Linked DNA regions of Schizosaccharomyces pombe. The protein of the gene in region 1 binds, or shares a complex with, the protein of each later gene. Each region holds a gene or a part of one and is shown in the gene's direction. Other genes may lie near its edges.

Region 1 (3,755 bases):
TTAGCGTTAGAAATTCTCATATTTTTAAGTATTAAATTATTTAAACCTCTCGAACTCACTAGAAGTTTTTGGCGAACTTTGGTGTCAACATTCTGCAGATGTTTACGTCTATCATCATATGTTATGGGTCAAAGGTATAGTGATGAAGAGGGTTATTATCCCAAGCAATATTTTTCTTTTCTTAGAAGGATTATAAGCAAACCTTCGGATACCGAAAACCAAGATGATGGTGATAAGCAGAAAGCAAAGAAAGACTTTGTCCAAGACGGTTTCTTTTTGTGGTGTCCTTCTAAGGATGTTGTGCCAGTTCGCCAAGGAGCCATGCTTATACCTGTGACAGAAAATGGTTATGAAATTTTTGGTGAAAAAAAGAAGGTCGAAGAAAATGCGGACTATACCATTACTTATGCACCTTCTAATTTTTATAAGCGTTTGATCGCTTTGTTGTTATTTTGTTGGATATGCTCAACACTTGTGACAGTATTGTTAGTGTTTGTTCCACTTTCATTAGGAAGAGCTATTTATGCTTGGTGCTTTCCTAATGTGGTAAAGCACGATTTTTATGCTTACGCCATTGGATTTTACTCTATTTCTTTTCCAATGTATGCAATTCACGCGTCTGTTAAGTTTCTGAAACTTGACTATTTACGAAGCCTTATGAATAAACTAAATTTAAAAATTGTTATGAGGAGCTTAGTAATGGCGTTAAAATATCTTTTATTAGCATTCCTTGGAATATTTATCTTACCACTCTTACTTGGAGCTATATGGGAATTATACGTCGCTATACCTTTCCGAACGATATTTAACAGAGGGACTCTTGCTCTCGATGCATTCCAAAACTGGGTGATTGGTCTTTTTATGCTTCGTATGATATATTTTACTGTGACTTCTAATGAAGAGCGTTTCGTTTCAAGGTTGTTTCAAGATGCTTTTCGTGATAGATGGACGAATCCTCAAATTCTTCCATTATTAAAAAATGTTCTCATCCCTTTTACATCAGCCTTAATAGCCGCCGTTGTGTTGCCAAGTGTTTTTACTTACGTAACCTATCCTTTTCTTTCATCCATTTTCCCTTCTGCATCTAAAACCCTTATGTATCGGTTGATGCATCCTATATTTTTAGCATTACTTGGGCTAGCACTCTTGGGGCGCCGTTTTGTAGAAACTAGTAGTAAATGGTCGCAAGGAATACGTGATGATTTATACTTAGTTGGTACGAGACTGCACAACTTTGGCGAATCTGCTCCTCCAGCCATTTCTGAGTCTGCCGAAAAATAAAAGTCTAGTCATCTACTATTTTTCAGATTATCCTTCTCTTTGGAAAACTGGAGCGAGGACATCTGAAGTAATATAGAGCATTGTGAATGTATATTATTTGAATGATGTTTTTGTTTTAATTGCTACGAAACTGTTAGTTTAGTTGCAGGAAATTACAAAAAGTCATCGTTTGAACAATTGGTTTGTTATTGTTATATTGCCAGGCATCTTATCCAATTTATCGTAACTGGTATTATCATGATATGGTGCTATTTATTTAATTTTCTTTACAAAATTGAACAAATATCAATTATCGTTGAATTTCTTTGATGTATCTGATGACTGTATCAAACCGTAGCAGCGAAAATTTGCAGACAATCACTAGCAATGGATAAATTAGTTAATTACTAAAAAGAAACAGTTATAACAAATATGTTTACTACGGTTATGTGACAAATTTATGAAAATGTAAAAGTTCGTAGTATTGCATGTGTTGATTTTGTAATCCATTCAATACTAACTAATCCTTCGTATAGAGGAATATCAAAATACTTTATCACTTAATCAATTTAAATTTTACGATTATGTTGGCCTAGTAAAATATTCATGTTAAGGATTTTATGGCATTCAACAATAGCGATAAGCTGTAATATTACAAGTAATAAACTCCTACTTAATTCGTTTCCAAGCCCATTTATTAAAAAGAATAATTCAGTGTTGTTAAAAGAAACACTGCAATTCTCTAAAAATTAAAAAAGCCAAGAAGTGTATAATTTTAAGCTACTTTAATCAGTGAAACTAATTTAAAACCAAGAATGATTAAAGATATCGAAATAAACAATTTATAGCAAAATTTATTGGTGATAGAAGCTTTCACTTCGTATTCCATATGCCAGATAAAACTACCCACTTTTACTGACTATTCCAAAATCCATTTTGAGCAAAAGATCGGTTATTTTCAAGTGTTTTTATATTCAGGATTTTCATGTCAATCAGTTATTGAGCGTCATATCGTTGTTCAATTACGGTTTTCTTAACATTATAGAAACTGCTTTTCTAAAAAAAAAAAGAAAAAAAAAGAGCAGGCATTTTTATACTAAGAATCAGCGATAAAAGGGAAGACAGTTACATCAATCTAAAATCTAGTTTACGATAAATACTATTTAACTAAAAGAGAATGGAACCAAACGAAGGAGTACAACTGTTTTCGGCTTTTCCGCCTCCACCTCCATATTATAAGTTATTTACAAGAGAAAACATAGAAAAAGTAATTTCAAATATGGAGAAAGAAGCAAAACATGAGGATGACGCGAATACTTTACAACCTAAGACTGAAGAAGAAATAGAGTCGCTGGCCAAGCTGTTTAAGAAGCCGTCATGTCTCACATCTGGGACTTATCAAATGTTTGGTGACACATGGAGGGTAAGTTTATTTTTATTGTTTTACATTAGCTGCTTTTCATCTCTCACTAACTTATATCGCTTATAGCTAGACGAAGCTATACCTTCACTCAAAGAATTTGGAATCCCTGAATTATATAAAGATATAAAAGATGGAGAAGATGAAATTGAAGTGGTAGAATATGATCCTAAATCCAATGCGATAGTTGGTACTAGTTTTACTCGTGTACACGATTATGATAAAAATTCACCAATTGAAAATGAAAAAATTCTGGAGGATGATCAACATACGGCCATGAAAGAAAAAGATAATGAATCTGATAAGACAATGAAAGATGTCGAGGAAAAGACTGAGCCCTCTCTTAAAAAGGAAGAGGAGGATATACAAATGAAGGAACCTTTAGATTCTCAAGATACTGGAGCTGTTTCAGCTTCTTCGGTAAACGAAGGTTTCCGGGCAGATCAAAAATCAAAGGATGGAGAAACGAGTGATTTGATAAAAATTCCCCGGCGAGCTTATGAACTACGATTTTTATCCCGCTCACTTATGCTTAACTTTCTTGAACTCCTAGGGATTATGGCGAAGGCACCCGAACAGTTTCCTTCTAAGGTTGAAAACATTAGGGTGTTGCTGCTCAATCTCCATCATTTAATTAATGACTATCGTCCACACCAATCTCGTGAATCTTTAATTATGCTTTTAGAAAAACAATTAAAACATGAAGAGTCGCAGGTTGAGCTATTACGTACTCATAACCGGCAAATGACCGAAACTTTGGAAAAGTACAAATCATTAGATTTTAATATGGAGAAGGAAGGAGATGTGATTCAACAATTAAAGTCGTCAATAAAAAAGCCATTGTCAGGCGCTGAAGATGAGCAAAAGTCTAGGTCTATGTTCTCAAAAAATGACGAGAAATTAAAAAAATCGCTTGAATTAATGGAAGACGTGATAAAACGAGATCTTAGCTAATAAACCGGTTTATCTAGTAGAGTTATTTTGCTATTTCCTCTGCTTTTAATATTTGTTTTACAAACAAAAATTCATACTAACGATGAAAAAAATGTATTCTTTCTATTTTAAACAAATCAAA
Region 2 (3,392 bases), on another chromosome or scaffold:
TGATTAAAAACAGAGTGAAATTAAATGACGATTAATCTAGCTTTCTTCACGAAAAACAAAAACTTCTTGCTACTAACAATGAAGAACTTCTCTATGCACAGATTTAATGGAATTTTTTTACTTGTGATTGGTAATAATCCTCATCATCCGAGTCCTCAAAGTGTGCATCGGCTGGAAGACTAGTATAGGCAACAGGACGGCTTTGCATACGTTGGCGCCTGCTGCGTCGCACACCATATCCAGGAGCGGATCTACGGATTCTGATCTTTGCCATATAAATTTTCCAAGTGTCCTTCCTATAAGCGTAGTATACGAGAGCAACGAGAATAAGCCCCAAAATTACAGACGGGACGGCGATGGCTGCCTTGATATTTCTCCTTGGACCATAGAAAGCTGCATTCTCAGCGGCAGCGGTGGCACTATCTAAATCCTTGGCAAGTAAGATTCTTGGTCCGGTAAGCAGCGTCATATTGTTTTCACTAATAGTAACCAAATCGATGGTGACATTCTGGAAACTATCATCATGAAGCCAACCTTTGTTAGCCTTTAACATTATTTCTCCTGAAAAATAGTTAGCAACAATTAAGTGAACGCTTTTAGAAGCAGAAAATCTATCCGCAAGAAGTAATGCTGAATTCCCGCTCCTCTACAAACGAACCTTTTGAATTTTGAACCTTCTTGGTAGCGGCAATCAACCCGCTATCGTTTAAATAGGAAACTACCATAAGAAGATTATCAACTCCAAAGTACAGAGGATCCCATGACACTTTATACTTGCGACCTTTTACCCAACGATCCCCTTGGTTAGGTGCACACATGGGTATATCCGACTGGATATATTTAGAAGGAACACAGTTGTAATAAGCATTAGTCGGTAAACCTTTTGTCGTGGTGATTGTTTTACTAACAGTGCTTTCAGCCGTAGCCAGGTGAGTTCCACTGACTACAGTATACACTTTCGTAGTCCTCAAGTTAGGATTACCGGAAGACGAGGAAAAATCTATAGGTTAGTGTTATGCTTAGTGAATGAAAAAAAAAAAGAAAATCTGGTTAGCAAACAAAGCAAAAAACTCATTAGAACATACAATCTCCTAAAACTACTTGAAAGAAAAGTGAAAACAGAAACACTGATCCACAAATAACTTTCATTGTAATTTAAATGTATGAATGAAAAACTTTAGTAGGGTTCAGACAGTGATAACAACCCGAATATAGAAAAATGACAAAAGCGGTAATATACGAGGATAAAGACCAATTATGCAGCCAAACAGTATTCCTTTCTTGAAAAATTATTGTTTAAGCTTATATAACATTAATACCAACCGGAATTGCTGATTTCACGAGATACTCATAAATTCCGCTGTGTATTGGCAGCGGAAAGGTTTGAAAATTGAACGACTTTATACCTCAAGAGCCGAATATGAATAACAGTTTATTAAGGCCTATATATTGAAAATTAATATTAACTTAATAACATTTTAAATAACCAATGCATCTCTACTATGCCATAAAAATATATTCTTAATCTTATCCGTTTTTTGTCAATTTGATTGAAACTACAGATCTAGAGGGTCAGTTTACTGTTGAAAAAAAGGTTTCAGTGTATTTAATTATAGCTTTCCTTTTGTCAACAAGTCTTATTAAAATTGAAAGTTCTACGCTCATCATCAATACGAAGAAAGCAATACTTATTGTGGATAAAAATGGTATCCACAAAAAATTGAGTTAGACAGCTTTAATGAGCAATTAGAAATTTGAAGTTGACTTTAAGATTTCAACTAAGTTGTTTTGACATTGTTCCAGATTGATTATTAACACTTGTAAAATTAAACAGCTTAAATGGGAGAAACCATTTAGAACCAATTTTTCAACTAGAGAATTTTAATTTAATTAAGAAATAAATTGCCCGTTAGAATTGAATTTGTTTACTCTTTCAATTTTCTACTCACCATTTAGGGAGCCCACTATTCTTTACATATCCCGTAGCGTTACTAGTGGTAGCACCAAAACCAAATTTTACCAAATATACAGATATATGGTCAAGTAATTGTTTCGATTCAATGGAAACAAAATGGTTACTTTCAAAGGTTCCCGATGATAAGAGTCGGTTTGAAATTGAGTTAGAATTTGTACAAATGCTTTCAAATCCATGGTACCTAAACTTCCTTGCCCAGCACAAATACTTTGAAGATGAGGCATTTTTACAGTACCTTGAATATATGGAATATTGGAGGGAACCAGAATATGTGAAATTCATAATTTATCCAACTTGCCTGCACATGTTGACTTTATTAAAAAATCCGCAATTTCGCAACGACATTTCTAGAGCGGATTTGTCAAAGCAGGTTAATGATGAAATTTATTATGAATGGTTAGGAAAAGGTTTGCAGCAATATGGTAGTGCCGACGATGCTACTTTGTCTCAGCCGCAGCAAGAGGAAGATGAAAAGAAAGTTGACGTGAAAAAGGAAAATGAATGAAAAGAGGATGTATGTAGATATTGAGATAGTTATGGTAATATCCACTTACTTTTTTCTCACATTTTTAAATTTCAATATCCAAAATCAAGCAAGATCTCTTATACAAGCATGTACTTGAGAAACTCCTGGACCTATGAAACTTCAATAAGTACAAAATCTTTACGGATCACTTCTGATTGTGTTTCCTGTGCTTTTCAGTTTGCCAAAATGGATTGAATCGGTATGAGATAAATTCTGTTGAAAAGTTTGACTGCAAATTAAAACACATTTACACAATACAGAGTTTTTTAGACTTTTATTTTTGTAAATCATATTTAATGCCATTTTATGCAGTTTCAGAAGTGTTCTGTAAGCATTTAGACTAATAAATAAAGAAGCATTAAGTCTAATTTTTTTGATAATATATCCAAGAAAATCATGTTATTCATACCTATCATATCCTTATCATGAGAGTTATATATTTTTGTTTTTGCATTAATTAGTTGTTTTTAGATTGCTTATCCTTCATTAATCGTTTTTCCAGTAAAACAAAGGCTTTCAACTGAGGAGGTAGCTCTTCCAATGAGCTAGTTTCCTTTAATGAAACCTTTGCTAAATCAGGAGGCACGGGTAAATGTTTATCTAAATAATGCCTTTTTGCTTTTCTTCGTGCACGATTGTATTCCTCAAGGTCATCAGCATACACATCCCAAACACATATAGCGCAACCACTTTGGCAACAATTCAAAGGCTCCTCGGGTTTTGGAGGTACTCTTATGCCATCGTAAATACGACTCACATTCCCTATAGAATAAGAACGCAACGACGCTGGTCCCTCCTCCACTGCTAGAAAAGATACATTGGGCTCTATTTCAAAATGAAATTTTGGTTTTGGTTGTTTCAATAATTCTTTAAACAACGTTAGATGCATAA

Evidence for each region. The genes of interacting proteins can lie anywhere in the genome.
Region 2: the proteins of med7 (region 1) and med31 are in contact, whole or in part, in a crystal structure (PDB 5N9J), measured with the Schizosaccharomyces pombe proteins. Residues at the interface, in NP_596734.1 of Schizosaccharomyces pombe: Phe13 (codon at 2,474), Pro14 (codon at 2,477), Pro15 (codon at 2,480), Pro16 (codon at 2,483), Pro17 (codon at 2,486), Tyr19 (codon at 2,492), Tyr20 (codon at 2,495), Leu22 (codon at 2,501), Phe23 (codon at 2,504), Thr24 (codon at 2,507), Arg25 (codon at 2,510), Ile28 (codon at 2,519), Ile56 (codon at 2,603), Leu59 (codon at 2,612), Ala60 (codon at 2,615), Leu62 (codon at 2,621), Phe63 (codon at 2,624), Lys64 (codon at 2,627), Lys65 (codon at 2,630), Pro66 (codon at 2,633), Ser67 (codon at 2,636), Cys68 (codon at 2,639), Leu69 (codon at 2,642), Thr73 (codon at 2,654), Tyr74 (codon at 2,657), Met76 (codon at 2,663); in NP_587859.1 of Schizosaccharomyces pombe: Lys9 (codon at 2,085), Asp13 (codon at 2,097), Lys14 (codon at 2,100), Arg16 (codon at 2,106), Phe17 (codon at 2,109), Glu18 (codon at 2,112), Ile19 (codon at 2,115), Glu20 (codon at 2,118), Glu22 (codon at 2,124), Phe23 (codon at 2,127), Met26 (codon at 2,136), Trp31 (codon at 2,151), Tyr32 (codon at 2,154), Phe35 (codon at 2,163), Tyr41 (codon at 2,181), Asp44 (codon at 2,190), Glu45 (codon at 2,193), Ala46 (codon at 2,196), Phe47 (codon at 2,199), Gln49 (codon at 2,205), Tyr50 (codon at 2,208), Tyr53 (codon at 2,217), Tyr56 (codon at 2,226), Trp57 (codon at 2,229), Tyr62 (codon at 2,244), Phe65 (codon at 2,253), Ile67 (codon at 2,259).

What each region holds. Positions count from the first base shown.
Region 1 is NC_003423.3:4,170,205-4,173,959, forward strand, and holds the start of med7 (mediator complex subunit Med7), read left to right. Parts: upstream 1-2,155; 5' UTR 2,156-2,437; coding exon 2,438-2,683; exon of another isoform or gene 2,684-2,749; coding exon 2,750-3,634; 3' UTR 3,635-3,755. Other genes in the region: ubiquitin ligase Doa10, read left to right, coding at 1-1,281.
Region 2 is NC_003421.2:525,359-528,750, reverse strand, and holds med31 (mediator complex subunit Med31), read left to right. Parts: upstream 1-2,002; 5' UTR 2,003-2,060; coding exon 2,061-2,480; 3' UTR 2,481-2,892; downstream 2,893-3,392. Other genes in the region: protein psg2, read right to left, coding at 104-561, 659-1,000, 1,086-1,149; SPOM_SPCP31B10.02 (uncharacterized protein), read right to left, coding at 2,959-3,390. UniProt on the Schizosaccharomyces pombe protein: Component of the Mediator complex, a coactivator involved in the regulated transcription of nearly all RNA polymerase II-dependent genes.